Linked DNA regions of Struthio camelus. The protein of the gene in region 1 interacts with the protein of each later gene in a pairwise test. Links are inferred from orthologs where the notes say so. Each region holds a gene or a part of one and is shown in the gene's direction. Other genes may lie near its edges.

Evidence for each region.
Region 2: the proteins of DAB1 (region 1) and MBNL1 interact in binary tests that used the Homo sapiens proteins (3 or more experiments, as listed by UniProt). The link is inferred for Struthio camelus from reciprocal best matches to the Homo sapiens genes DAB1 and MBNL1.

The regions. Positions count from the first base shown.
Region 1 is NC_090949.1:33,984,663-33,992,486, reverse strand, and holds the start of DAB1 (disabled homolog 1), read left to right. Parts: upstream 1-4,815; 5' UTR 4,816-4,882; intron 4,883-7,824. UniProt on the Homo sapiens protein: Signaling adapter of the reelin-mediated signaling pathway, which regulates the migration and differentiation of postmitotic neurons during brain development.
Region 2 is NC_090950.1:33,346,036-33,353,658, reverse strand, and holds the start of MBNL1 (muscleblind-like protein 1), read left to right. Parts: upstream 1-4,604; 5' UTR 4,605-4,742; intron 4,743-6,696; exon of another isoform or gene 6,697-6,711; coding exon of another isoform or gene 6,712-6,747; intron 6,748-7,623. UniProt on the Homo sapiens protein: Mediates pre-mRNA alternative splicing regulation. Acts either as activator or repressor of splicing on specific pre-mRNA targets. Inhibits cardiac troponin-T (TNNT2) pre-mRNA exon inclusion but induces insulin receptor (IR) pre-mRNA exon inclusion in muscle.

The DNA.
Region 1 (7,824 bases):
AACACAGGTTATCTAAGGCTCATATCTCTTTCACTCTGTGAGCTTTATGGGTTTGGCCTCCTGACACACTGGTTATCTTTCTTTCCCAGCACTTCTCAAATCCTAAAGGGAGGGCAGTCACCTTTATGTTCAAAATTGTGGCCTGGGTGCTTGGATTCAGGCAGTCAGATGGGAAAGCTCATTGGTTTTATTCTTAAATGGAGATTTTGTTGGCTGCTAATTTGTTGAGCGAACATTTAGGCAAAAATAGTTGGGACAGCAGCTTCAGTCAATATGCAGAGCCCTCGTTCCACTCTTGCCCCTCGTAGGTCTCTCTGCTTTCCTTTCTCTGCGTGCTTCCCTGTCATTTTGATCCCTGCATCCCTACATAGTCCTGACCAGTTGTGATGGATGGCTTTTCTTTTGTTCTCTCTAGAAACAGGGAACCTTGAGCCCTAAATCTCCCTGAGAACTCAGTTGTAATCTTTCCTTAAAAATTTCTAAAAGTTCTTGCTCCCGACTGCGCATTTTAGATTGATAGTGTTGTGTGACGCATACCCAGACTCTTATTTTATTTTAGCTGGCTCCATGCGTACTACTACTTTGTGAGATTTGCCATACATAGCGAAAGATTGACTGACCCCAGTTCCCTGCCACAGTATTAGTGTCTGGTCAAGTGACTATAAAAACGAATACTACTGTTTTGTGCTTAACTGTGAATGCGAATGTGTGTGTTTAGAGAGTGTCACCTTTGAAAATCAGACTCACAGTATGCACTTTATCCTGAAAAGTTAACAAAAATTCAGGTTAGCAATAGCATATAAAGTGTGTGTGTGTGTGTGTGTGTGTGTGCGCGCAAGCCTTTTCCTGAGATAACTAAGAAATACACCTAAAACCCCGTACCATTTAGGTGAAGGACAAGGTAAGAGCAAAGCAGACGCATCAGCTGTCTCCAGGGCAGTTATTCTGTGGAAGGAGGCAGACCAGCACAGCAGGCAGCAAACGTTTTTTTCCAGAGCCTGGAAGTGAGTGGTGTGTAGGCAGGCATGAAGAAGAAACCCTGCATTGCTTTTATTGTCAGTCTGCTTGTCAAACTGCCTTGTTAGGTAGGGATAGTAAGATGGAAAATAGACCAATATTTGACTTCTTTTTGTGTGTATATGTGAAAGCAATAATTCTTAGGAGGGGCTTATTATTAAAATGTACTTGCTAGTGCCAAATATTAAATGCAGAGAATTAAGACATAGATGCATAACCATGCACATAGCAAGACAAAGAGGAAACAGATGGTTTGTTAGCTAGTTAGACCTCTTCTTAACTCAGAGCTGTTAGTCCTGAGAGATTTGTTCTTTCTGTTTTCAACTTTGCTTGGGCCCTTCCACAAGACAGCCTTGTTTATTCGTAATGTTGCCTGTGCTCGACACCTTGTTCCACTTAGTCTGTGCTTTCAGTGCAGGACACTGGACAGGCAGCAGCAGGCTTGCAGAATGCGAAAGAAGGGTGAAGTAACAGGTAAAGGAGAAGAGAGAGAGAATGGGATGCTGAGCGTGTATTTTCTGTCCATCCTCACGTTGCTAAGGGACCCGAGAAGAGAAGGACGGAAAGCTGTACCAGCACTCGAACGGACACAGCTTGTTCCCCGCTGCAGCTTGTGAACGTCACCTCCCTTGTGTGCGCCAGGCTGGTGTTCCTCTCGAGCAGGGTGATGAGGGCAGCGGAGCCCACTCTGTGGGAAGGATGGCTGACAAGGATGGGAAACAGTGATGCGGTGGCATCGCTGACGTTGTGTGTGTGGTCTCTCAGCTGATTCAGCGGTATTGCCAGAGTCTCACTGTGCTCCAAGGAGGGGCTGAGGAATGTTTTATCATTAAATTGCATATGACTGAGATTGGCTGAATTAACGTATCCCAGTGGATGAGAGCTATATGATAGGAATTTGATTACTCCTGTTGTATGATTTGAGTTGCTCATAATTGCAAAGGTTCTTTCCAGCGTCTGTGAAACAACTGAGGTTGAACATTAGTGGTTGCAGTTGCCGGCAGTGTTGGCATAGCAGGCTTTATTATTTCAAATATTTCACACTTATGGCAGCTGTTGCACCTTCTGTGCTTTTGGTTTGATGCAGTGAATACATCCTTTTTAGCAATTCTTTTCTTAAGATGAACAGCAAAGCAAAAAAGCAGCCTTTCACATCACAGTGCATAGAGTATTTCTGCACATTTTGAAAAAGATTTATGTTTTTCCCGTTTCTGACATTTGAAACAGTAAGTCTTGGTTTTGGTTTTTGCTGAATCAGTGGCTCAGGCAGTCACTACATGGCAGCAGGCTGAAATGAAAGCAATGAGAGGTAAAAAACCATCATGTTTGCTGAGATTGTTCTAAATTCTGTTAGTGTTTAATACCCACTTGCCCGCCCAAGTATTTCAATACTGTTTATCACTGTGATATCTGAGTGCTTCGTTAATAAGTGTATCCTTGTCTATCATTCTGAGATATTGTATCGCTGTTCTCCTAGTGGGAGATTTTAGTCACAGAGAGATCACAGAGCTGATTTTCCAGCAGTGTCAAGGCAGGAACACTGATAACTTAACACCTCTGAAACAAAGTCCAAGTTGTACATCCAGAGCCACAGGAGATTGTTGTGTCTTAGCCAGGAATGAACCCTGCATCCTGCAAGCCCTCCTTGAGCTCTCAAAACGTGTGGTTGGCCCCTTTCCTTCCGTCCTGCTGAAGTGTTAGAGAGCGTTCTCTCTGTGCAACATTCAGTATCCCCTTCCCTGACATCAGTCTGGCAGAGTTTCTGTTCCAGTTCTGCTGGTGAGCTGTCAGTAAAAATGTGACCCAAGTGAAAATACATCTAGGGCAAACACAGGAAATCTCTTTTAGCAATTTTCCCTGTATTTTAGGGAGAATTACTGTCAATTTGTCTCTTTCAGGCGAGACTGCATGAAAAGCAGGTTTATTTGCATTTAGCATTTCACTGTCATTAAGAAGTTTTTTTTGCATAATGCATTTGACCACTGGTAGCCAGCAGATTTTGCCATCATTTAGAAGGAGGTGAACACCATTAAAAAAACCTCCCAGGTCAAAATGGACAATAAATATAGGTAAGAATTTGCATAGAGGAATCCGGCTGCTCGGCGCACACGCGCTCAGCTGGCGCCTTTGTCACAGGTACGGGTTCTGTATGTGGTTCCCCAGTGCACTGTGGAATTTGAATTGTTCCCTTCACACAGCATGGACAAGCTCTCACACTCCTTCTGCTTCAGGCTCTTTTGCAAAGGCAAATGGCACTGCTGGAAACTAATCAACGTAATTTTGTACTCTTCACAGAGGTCTATTAGCAATCATTGACGCAATCCTGGGCTGTAAATGGGGACAGCCTATTCCTAAATTCAAACACAGAAATGTTTTGTATTTTCTATAAAATATTATTGACCTGGCCTGTTTCTGGCCTGCCCGTTTCTGGGCTTTTTGTGCTTATGTTTTCCCTTTTCCCCCAGATGCTGTAACAGGCTGTCAGACGGAGATGCTGCTGAGGATTTTGAAAAAGCTCAAATGATAAAGAATAGGGAAAAACTAACATCACTACTATTGTAGCAGCCTTGCACAACCTTTTCCTATACACATGTACAGAAATAAAGTACAAATAGTAGTTTTATTAAACAAGACACAGACACTTATTTTTTATCCTTTCTGCCAAAGGAGAAGAAATATCTTCATTTTCTCCACACAGACACAGCTTTCTTCATGTAAAATCCCATTGGAGACAAAGCACTGCATGTTTATCATGACTATGCTAAGCACAACAGTCCTTAGGGTAGACTTCCTCTAGTTGCATTTCTATAGCAATGTTATTAGCCCAACTTTTGCAGCCGAATAACTAGTTTGGGTTAGTTAAAGACAAGCAAGCAACTTGTTCCTGGTGTGAGAATGCAACCTAAGTTGAGTTGCCAAGCGCCGTGAAGGAAATCCGTAGAGTAGGGACGGATGGTGTTACGTTCTCAGGTGACTACAGTAACCGCTGAATCGTATTTCCTTTTTCTGTTGAGCATATACATTGAGAACGGTTACCTTAATTGATAAATGCAGCTTTGGGTAAAAGTTTCACTGGGTCTCAAAGGGAAACCATTTGAATTCCCCCCGACCTTGCCCTGGCTTCTCTGAGTGCCTGGGGATGAAGGCTGTGGCTGCTTTTACACATGCAGCCAACTTGTTTCACTGGGCCCATTTGGAGGGATTTAAGTCTCAAAATGAGTGTGAAAGCTGAAGTTTGCATGTCATCCAAGGGCTTGCACATTTGTCAGAATAGAAATGATAAGGATCATTAATTTGTACATATGTGAATTAGGAACTGGAGAGGGTTTCCTGATAACCAGCAGTAACGTGATGTACTCCGTCCCAGTCATGCCAAGGCTGAGACGTGTTGATTGCCTCCAGGGTTAACCTCGCAGCTTTCGTGCAGCGTAAAAGCAGCTTGTTCTGCCCACCATGTGGCCCTGGAGTACAGGCAGGAAAGGTCACACGAGCAATCAAGATCAGCATATCCCTACTCAGGTGGGGACCCCCTGTGGCTGCAGGATTAGCAGCAGAGTCTGAGCTGACTTTGAATATGTATTTACTTCTAAATGTCCCGACTCTGTTCCAGGCATTTTTTGACTCATTAATCTGTGTCCATATTTGCCATGAACTTGGACACACAGTGCAACGACATTCACTGTTTCTTGCTGTTTGTCTGCTTGCTGTCCTGGCTGAATTTTTGAAAAATAAAAACAGGAGGAATTAAAAGGTTAGATTATTTTCTTCGTATGTCTCTGTGCAGGAGTGAGCGGTAACTGGCAGGCTGCTTTGAGACCTTTGCTGATGATGCCACTTGAACAAGGATTCTACAAGAAAACGAATAGTAAGAATCTGCAATTATCAGATAATATTTTTTAAAATACAACAGAAATTTTCTAAAATAGGTGGATTTTTAGAGGCATGATTTTGGGTGTGTTCAGCAGGAGCTGTACATCTGAACCCCTCGCATCACGTCTAGAATCTGGGTACGTGAGTTTTGAACTGAAACTTAAAGGCAGACAAAAATTTAGTTTCCCCTTTTCTCTCTGCCATTCCCACAACATTTGGGAAAGCTGTAGAAGCACATTTGCTTCAGCTAAATCCCTCTGCACTCCCCTCATCCTCTCGGTACCTGCACTGCCAGAAAACAGTGCTGGAGCAAGGGGCAGCAGTGCACGCATGTAGTGCTGTCTGCCAGGCAGATATTTGCCAGGGAGAAGTCACTGACCTCCTTGTTTCCTCAGCCCTGGAGATCTTTGCTCTATCGTTGCTGATCCTCCCAAGGTGGGGGTGGGGGTGCTGATGTCTACCCTTGGAGGAGGGTAGCACTTAATCTTATCATCCGTCTCGGCTGACATCCCCACTGATGTTGTAGAGTACCTCTGGGGGCAACCCCCCAGACGACAGCAGTGCAAGAGGTGACCGTTCCCGAGGATCCTCTAAACGAATCCTCAGCGTTTTCATTAAAAAGAGACGCTCCTGCTGGACAATTATGGATTGCGACTCTCCCATTTTTCCACAGGCAGAGAGCTTATGTAAAAACTGACTGACATTTAAAAATGCCAGCAATCTTATTAATTCTTCAGTTCAAGATGTGTTTCTTGGGGCTTTGCATGTGGAATGCCACTCGGAGGACAGAAGGGTGATGCAGCCACACTGGCAGAATCAAGCTCTTTACACAAATACTGCACTCTTTTAAGTGTTACTTCTTTAAATTGTGTGTTTACCATGTAACTTCTGACTAACTGGGAAATGCACTTGTGAAGGTTAAGGCACCTAGTGCCCCTGAGAGTTACAGCTGTGTGAATACAAGCTCTTTGTGCTCTGTCCCATGACTGACCTCTTTCTGACTTGAGAAGAGTCCCTTCTGCAGGAATTAAAGGCTGTTCTGTCTTCCTGCTCGCTCAGAGATGTGCTGCTTGCCTTTCTCCTAGGCAGAGTGCACCATTGCGGATTACTATCCACCAGCAATTCAAACGGCATTGCTAAGGGTATTGCACTTATTCCAGGATCACAAGCTAAATTCAAAGCAAAGGACAGAATGTGTCATGGCTTTTCTCCTCTGTCCCCTGAAGGATTGAGAGGCCACCCACATTAGCATGGCTGCTTCCTCTTCTCGCTTCCCAGTTTGTGGTAACTGGCACTGCAGAAAAGGTGTACCACTTGTCTGAGGAGACTGGGGTTCAGCTAAGGATCTGCCAGAACAAAATACAACCTATTTCCCCACTGTATTGTTTGCTATGTGCTGAGTTACAGTTAATCTCTCTGCAGCGGGGCCAAAGGGGCATGCTTTCCAGTGGACAAATTCTTCTGTGAAATGCCTTTGCACAGCTTCCACTGCCTTTATGGAGAGCTACCGGGCAGAATTTGGTCCCAGGCTGGTCAGATCATGCAGTTCAAAGGACAAAGCGCATTCCCCTTCTGATGGCTGGTTTAATAGATGACTGACATACTGCTGCCAGCTTATGGTTACTCCTTTATCGCAAGGAGGAGAGCTTGGGGCAAGGGCGACAGCTCAGACACCGCTGGTTTCCCATGCCAGTTAAAGTGACTAGGATTATGTGTGTTTGCTGTATGCCAGATATATGTATATTTTTACATCAAATTTGTTACTCTATATTGAAAGCCATTCCCACTGGCTGGTAAGTATATTGTTTTGTTGGATGTAAATCTATCCATGTGTTAAACATACAAAATTAGAGCCAAGCTTGCTTCACGTCTCAATCTCCAGTGACCATCCAGTAAATAGCAGCTCTTGAACTGCTGGCTGAATCTGTTGGCAGAAAAGTACAGGTGTAGATCAGTCTTAAAGGAATGACTCCTTGCAGCAAGGTTAGGAGAGAAAAGAGTGGAGGAGAGGCAGGGGAAGGTTTCTTTGGTTGTTTTTTATACAATGGCTGCTACTGCATTAGCAATTGCATTTAGTGTTTATCAGGTGAAGAAATCAGATGGCTTCCAATTCCTGCCATTGGTAAGGAGCTGCTTTTTGCTGAAAATGGGAAGGATACATGAAATCATCTCAGAGCAAGAGGTTGTGCATGCATTAAGGTGACGAATCAGGTTAATAATGGGCTGAGCCGTGTGTAAGCCATAGGTGTTGGCCACAAATTGTGAAGACACTGTCAGTGGGTCAGAGCAAGGTCTTAAATCTTTTTTTTGAGAGCTTTTATTCTTTGACCTGGTTCACTGCAGGGGAATGAGTTTCAATTTGGAATAAATTTTGACCCAAATAATTGAAAGTTAATCTCACTTTATTTTGCATAATGCTTTATAATAATACAAATGTAACATGTTTAGTCTGGGACCTAGAGGCCAGCAATCTATGGAAGCTGACACTTTGCATAAAAGCAACCTAGAAAAGGTCCTGAGTTTATCTATTCAAACTGATAGCAGCACTTCAGAAGATTGACCCTTCAACCTTTTTAATAATGACTTCCCCTCCTTTATTTAGTTTTTTGGGTTCCCTTGCAGATATTCATTTGTGACACTTAGCAATTACGTTATGTGCAGTATTGTACATGTGAACTGAATAGTTCACTAGGTCAAGCAAATGCAGAAGAGATCGAACCAAACTGATAGAGTGAAAAAAACTGAACTATAATAAAATAAGTGTATGCAGGTCAAGTGCTGCCTGAATGAAGCAATGTATTGGTAGAAGTTAGTAGACACAATATACCTTCCTTCTTGGGATGTTATCAAGGAAATATGCAGTCAGTGAAGCAGAAAACTGCAAAATTGTTTAATAAAATTAATCCTCAACTGTGAACAGCAAAAATGTCAGGCTTA
Region 2 (7,623 bases), on another chromosome or scaffold:
GTGTGTGTGTGTGTGGGGGGGGGGGGTTTGTTTTGGGGTTTTTTTGGTTTGTTTTTTTTTTTTTTTTGCTGTCATGGTATCGTTTAGTTCAGGTTCATTTGAGATTCCTTTATTGACTTGGACTATCCCAATAGAGAATTTCATAGTGATGGGAAAATAGTTTATGCAGCTCAAAAATTATGAGTCTCTGCAATGTTTTCCTGTCGTTTGTTTAGTGGAGATATTCAAGATACATTTCTGGTCTTAAGTTAGTCTTTATTTTTGCTAGCAGACTATTTTTAAAGCTGACATTTTGGGCTCTGTGTTCAGGCGTATAACAAATTCTAACATAACAATTTTTCTTCAAGTATTTGTGCAGGCGAAATATATATCTATACTAGCATTTCTTGACTTCAGATTACCTACTTGAAGCATCACAGCTCCTTGGAGTAACAACTTTGCTTTTTGTATCTGGCAGCCTGAAGAATAGCAGGTGAAATTCAGCCCCATTTAGCAGTTACAGATATGTCACTGGCCTCAGCAGGATCATGATTTCACGATGAGTAAGGGGCTAGTCCAGCTCCACCCAGAAACCTTACTACAAAACTAGGAGTAAAACATATCATCTCCTGAATTTTACCAGAAATATTACTCCTTTCCTTATTTGTGAGCACAAAAAAGATTTTCATTTTGTATAAGCTGTTGCTTCTTGCATTATCTTGCTTACCTTGTTGGGGATAACTACTCATGTTATGAAAGTAAGATTAAATATCTTGCTTTGAAAATGTGCCTTTTAATTCCCTTTGGCTTTAGCACATACAATATATCAGTTGCTGCTCTTACTCCTCTCTCAGTGTTTGGAGAAATCAGTACTTAGTATGGATTGTATACCAAGCTGAAGAACAGGGGAAAATTCACACTGAGAGCCGTTTCGCAGCTTCGTTGTGAAGTGGAGATCTTGCCTCACCTAAATCGTCCTGCCGTGAGCATCTCGTAGTTTGCTGCTTTGTGGGATGCAGGAATAAATGTTCATAATGAAAGGGCACTTGCAAGGTGTTTCTTGCAGTGCAAGAGTGGTTGTGGGAGGAAGGGAATAAATCTGTTGCCCATATCGCTGGAGGATGGGATGAGTTGTGACAGGCCTCAACAGGGTGGTTCATTTTTGGTTTTAGAAAGCTTTCTGTTGCGAAGGACAGCCCTGCACAGGACTAGGCTGGGGGGGGGGGGGGAGGGGGATGCTGTGGCCTCCGCCTCCCAGGAGCGCTTTGAGAAAAAGCTAGCAAACTGGGCAATTTGGGCAGCCTGAGGAGGTGGCGATGGACTAGATGGTCTCATGAGGTCCAGACCCACCCGAGGTGCAGATTTTTGCGTGACTGGATAACGTAACACAGTGTGAAGGCTGAGCTTGTTTATCAGAGCACTTCTTACGGAGCGAGTTTCCGAGACCTGCGTGTTCACCGAGTGCCCCGGGGCAGGTCGGTGATACCTGTTGGTGTAGGTGACTGGTAATTTCCTGACTCCCAGCTGTGGGCAGCTGAAGCAAGCGAATAGCTGGCTGCATTCTCCAAGAAGACACCCAGCTGTTTGGCTTGCGCTTGCAAGCGATTTCTCCCCATGTTGCTCGTCTCCTAACTGGGTGTGCGAGGCATGGCTGTGATTGTAATAGACGCTGTGGCTCCCCTGCAAATCTTATCAGCTGCATTAGGTGTGCGCGATTCCTTTGGTAGCTTGTAGTTCTCATCATTTAAAATCCCTGGAAAATGACCTGTTGTAGATTTTCTTTGCTGATTTGCATCCACACTGACACACATCGCTTCCTAAGGTGTGCCTCTGATGCTAGTATCTGCAGCACTGCTTTAGAGAAAGAAAAATAAATAATAATACACAAATTATGGAGCAGTGTCTGCAGAAGCTGAGGAGCAGCCTGAGCTATGGCCGCCATGGCCTGGCGAGAGGGTGCTGCCGGTGGCCGCGCCGCGCCGCGGAGACTTGCCTCGCCTCGAGACGCGGCCCCGGGCTGAGCTCGCCGGGGCGATCCCGCGCGGCCGGCTCGCTGCCGCTGACGTCCCCGGGTGAGAGACACGTCCCCGTTCGTTACCGCGTTGTGTTCATGCATGGCACCCAACTTCTTTTTCGGAGCTGGGCATTTAAACTTTTTGAAAGGAAATATCCACTCCACCTTGACCTTTGAGGGGAAAATATTTACTCTCTTGTTTCTAAACTTTAAATATTTAGGTGTTTTTTGAACAAAGTTGTTTATCATGCAGATTTTGGTTCACCTGCAATATATTAATGGATAAAGCAAACAAACTGCTGACTAAAGACATTGTCCTCTGAAAACTGGCAGTTGCACATGGGCAGTCATGTTATGTTCTGAGGTTTTAAATGAATGCAGATTAGTATTAGTTTTTGGCACCCACCAGATAAATTAGTACAGTAATGACTTTGTTTTTATCTGACAGAACAGTTGTTTCTATTAGTCAGAGATTTGACCCGGGGCCTCAGTTGGTCATTTGAGTAAATAGCATTTCATAGTCAAGTTTTTCCTTAAGAGAAACAAATAAACATACCCAAGGAAATAAAGGCTTTGTTTGAACTATGAAGTTTGTGCCACACTACTTAACATCGGGAGTTAACAAATGAGGCTTAATGCAGGTTTTAATTGAATTTAAACTAGCGTGTTCTCCCTGCCAAGCAGCAAGGCGTGCTGCAGTTGTTTTGACTGTATGATAATAATTATTAAGCCGTCAGGTTTGCTGGCAGAAAACGTCTTTGCGCTTCCCATAGAAGCGCAGCCACTTCCGTGAATAGCCATTTTGGTGTGCGCTTTGCGGGGCTGCCGAGGCAGAGACCTCTACCTGAAGCTCGGGTCAGGCCCTGGTTTAACTGGGAGCTGTGTCGCTCTGCAGCGCCTCGTGCTGCTGAAAGCACACCGCCTGCTCGATATTTTACGTTTCTTTGCTGGAATCGCCCTCTCCCCGGGGCTCCTGTGCGTTTTGCCAGATGTCCCGGCGAGGCGACAGCGCTGATGTTCCCCACGTGAGCCGGGCTGCCGCTGGAGGAAGGTGGGAATAAAGAGCGCTTTGTTCCCGCGCAGCAGCCGGCGCTACCTTGACAGCGTGTCGGCTGCCTGAGTGGGAGAGTCCGGCTGTACGCGACGAGCTGATTTCTGTGCGGAGGCAGGACTTTCGGGTTCAGAAGGAAGTGAATTGGATAGGTCAGGAGAACATACCATTTGCAAACACCCCTTTTCCCTTTCCGGCGGCACGCCGGACGCAGAGGCTGCAGGCGGCTGTGCTGGCGGTGGTGCGGGAGGCAGAGCCGCGGGAAAGCCAGCTGCAGCCGCGCAAGCTCGCTTTTTCCGCAGGGATTCGCCGGGGGAAGCGCTTTGGAGACTAACATGGTTTAATCCACTCGCTGCATGTTGGGTAAATTCAAAACCCACATGCTCGTCCTCTTGCAGTGGAATAAGTCACATCTGATGGACGTTTTCTGTGCTTATAGCATAGTAATGAACGTCTGACAGGCGCGACCTTTCATAAGACAGCCCACACTATTGGCTTTCTGCCCAGAATATTGCTGCAACACTATCTGTGATTGGTTATCTCCCTATCATGCATTGCTTCACAAGGGAAAACGGCCCCTTTTTTAATAAATCTACGATGGCTGGCTGCAATATGCTACACTGTAAGTACGCTGTGCGAGGGAAGCAGGCAGGCTGTAATGCTGCGTAGTACTCTAGGATCACATGGCAAGGCGGTAATGCTGTGGGACACCGGTGAAATGCTGCTCGGTAAATTTTAACGTATCTGTTTTTTCTACAGGTTGGTACTAAGAAGTGCCTTTCCTGACGTCTCTGCTGCTTGGAACCGCTTCTAGAGCAGTCTCTGCTTTTTGCCTTGCTTGCTGCCAGCTAGACTGCGACGACAGCACATCCACCCTCCACCTCTAGCCCAGACACCCCCATTTCTACTTATAATCAAGAGAAAAGCTCTATCAGGCATTGCCATAGGCTGCTTTAGTATAAAAATAAAAGTTTGCTGGGAAAGTAAGATATCTTCTGCCAGAAAATCAAGGAGAGGAAAAAAAATTTCTCGATTGTTGCTCTAAACTGCTGCATCTGTCTATGCCAAACTAATCAATACCGATTGCACCACAAAACCCAATTGCAAATTCAGCTGTGTGGAGATTACCTTTCAGACAACTTTACTGAAAGCAGCTTGGAAATTCTGTGTCAAAGGGTCTGCCACGTTTTTATGCTTGCATTTTGGGCTCCAATTGGCACTCAGAATGGGTTACTGAGAGCACAAGGCTAGTTCCAGGCCACACTTTTTAACGTTCATCTTACTTATAATCCTAGCGTTTCTTGAAATACAAAACCTCTGTCAATTAACAGTTTCATGCTGTGAACTTCTAGTGGCAAATCTTTTCCTTGATATTGTGACCACACGATTTTACATGTACTTTTAAAATAGGGAGCGGGGGAAAAAAGCATTCTGGAGGTGACATTTTCATCATTTCCAGTTTCTCAGTTCAGCTCTTTGTTTGTTCGTTTTACTGAAAATTTTAACTACCTGTAAAATCTAAACATGGCTGTTAGTGTCACACCGATTCGGGACACAAAATGGCTCACACTGGAAGTGTGTAGAGAGTTCCAAAGAGGGACTTGCTCCCGGCCAGACACGGAATGTAAATTTGCACATCCATCGAAAAGCTGCCAAGTTGAAAATGGACGCGTAATCGCCTGCTTTGATTCATTGAAAGTGAGTAAATATTATATTATTTTCAAGGATATAGAGTTAATGAAAGAAGGAATTATAGCTAGAGAAACCGTGGAGTCCAAAAGAGAGAAACTGCTGTCTGTGCTACCAGGGAGAGCTTTTATTATAATCTTTATTGATCATTGCTGTTTTGTTTTGTTATTTTCTTCAGGGGAAGGGGAAGGATAGAGGGAATAAGAGGAAAATAAGCCTAACAGAGTTTGAATCATTTGGCATGGCTGCAATTATTAGTCCTTTGACTCTAAATTATTCTTTGTGTGTAGCTAGAATAAAGGGCATTTCACTTAGAAATAGCTAAGTCACTGTAAAGACTCCTTTGTTTTTAATAGCACAAAACACATGCTCTGTGATGATTTGTTTCCATCTTGTAACTACAAGTGGCTTGTTGATGTCTCAGGACAGTAGACACTGAATCTTGGAAAAGTGTTTTCCTTCGTAAATTATTTGGGTGTTTGTGGAGAGTGTGTTTATGTGTCTGTGTTTGGAACATCTGTGGTTATCCTTTCTCTTTTACAAATACGTCTGTGTAAGGAAAGGATAACGCTTAGCAGAAAGCAAGGTACTCTAGATGCGCAAGCAGAGCTGTGTAGGGAGGTGACAGCCTTACTGTGGTTTTTAGGAAGTCTCTATGAGTTTGGCAGTGCAAACGTGAGCCTGTTATTTTAATATATCTGTAGTTTCAGTGACCAGTTGTTAGATGTGGATTTCCAGCTCCTTCCCTTCGTTTTTATGAATTAAATCATCTCAAAAAGTGAAATAACTGTCCCACAAACAGTATCTTAATTCAGTAAGACTCCTAAAGATCAAAAGTTGAGAAAATATGTCTGTCTGCTTTTCCTGCAGTATAATTTTGCTCTTCTTGGGCCCAAATCCTGCAAGTGTGGGGAGTTTGCCATGCCCAGCAGCGTCGTGCGTGCAGGGAGGAAGTGCTGTGGCTGTACCCAGCTGCAGCAGGTTGCACCAGCAACCGGCTCATGAGCACGGTTAGAGCTAGGCAGGAAGTGGGCTTACAGTGGTTTTATATAAATCCTGCAACACTTTTGAGTTTACAAATGTGTATTGTCTTGTTTTAGGTCAGAATAGAAGGTGAACCTTTAAAATATTTTCAAGTCTGAAATACCCAGCCACCCCAAATTATATTTTAACTGATGGCAATTGAGATATTTTGTTTCAGTGCTGTTTCGATTTTCAATTTTTTTATTTTAAAATTACTGTAATTACAATGCATAGGAAAAAAGCAAAAAAAAAAAATCTTCAAATGTGAAAACAAAATGTTTCCAGACATTAAAGAAAAAGATTTTTTTTTCTTTTGAGCTAGACAACAGTTCTGAAACCCAGCTGGATTTGGTGAAAAGTTTTGGCTTTGAGGCATGACCGTTTCCTGGGGAGCGCGGCTGCAGCTCGGGCCGGCCCGGTGGCAGTGAGTGCCGCGCAGCAGCCGGGGCGTTTCCTGGGCTCGCGGCGGCAGCTGGGGACGGGAAGCTGCCCCACGGGGCCGGCTGCTGCTCGGGCGCAGCCGCGGCCACGCGTGCGTTTTGCAGGGGCGTTGGCGACGGGGAGGCCTCGCAGAGCTGGCGCCCGTTGGGTTGTAACGTCACCACGTTGCAGCCGAGGTGTCTGAAACTGAAGCGGAGCTCTGGAGCTTTAAAAACATCTTTTTGTGAAAGGAGGCGAGAATGATGATGTATCTGCTGGTAAAATAGTATCCAGTAGTATCCTCGTGGTTTATTTTCCTGGTTAATTGCTTTCCCTCGTTTGGTTACGTGGAGCATCATAACCATACTGCCTCGCCCAAATGTCTCTTATTTTTTAAGAAAGACGATGCAACCAAAAAAGGCTGAAACAAGATACCAAAGTTAATTGAATGTGAATCTTGTTCACCATGGGAAGTACCATCTGAGAGCAGTATAAATCAGCGTCATGAGCAGAGCTTTCTGACTTTCATGATGATATGAAGCGCGGTAAAGATTCAGCACAGAGCGGAGAAGTGAGCAGAGCAGCAGTTGGGGTCGGGGTTTGGGTGGGAGATGCAGAACAGGGGCTCGCGCGGCGTTTCTCTTGCTGGCGGTGCTGCTAGCTCTTGTATTGCCTTGAGCAAGATTCTTCAGTTTCCTTATTTTTAAATGAAGGAGATAATTACCACCTTTGTAAAGAACTGCAAGACCTCTGGATAATATCCAAAGGTAATATTATGGCATTATTGCATTGCTTCAAAATATTCTGTGGAAAAGACTATTCTTGTTGCCTGTGAAAATCGGCGTGGTGAGTGAGTTGTAAGCTTGGGTGGAATTCTGGCCAGATATGCTATTTAAAAATGTACTGCTTAGCAGATACGTTTACTTGTGTTAATGTGAAACGGTGTGCTTTTGGCTCAGCTGCTTCACCGTGGGCTCTGTGCTGGAGGGTCCCGCGGGGATCAGGTGGGATGCCGTTTTTTTGCAGGCTGGAGAGCACCAGCTAGCAGCCTGTGGCACTGTCACTGCCCAGGAGACCCAGGAAAGCTCTTTCCAAGCCTGCCTGTAGGATAGCAGGAACAGGGTAACATGACATCTACTTTGCCAGTATGTCTATGAGCAGACTGTTGAGCTTTTTTGGCCAGGGGATTCTTAGTTTAGGTTGGTTGTATCATGTAAGACAATTCCGTTGGTAAACAGAAAATGGCACGTATCTCTTCATTGAATTCCCTGTCCCATGCAAATAGTAGAAAAGCACTTATTCAGCTTTGATTTTGTTTCAGATTTTTGCAAATTTTTGTGTGTGTGCTGAGCTGGTTACTTTGTTATGTTTTCTCCAATATCACAAATATTAGATATTATGCAAAAAAAATTTAGAGAAGTGTTACAGCAGACTGTCTGGACTCTCT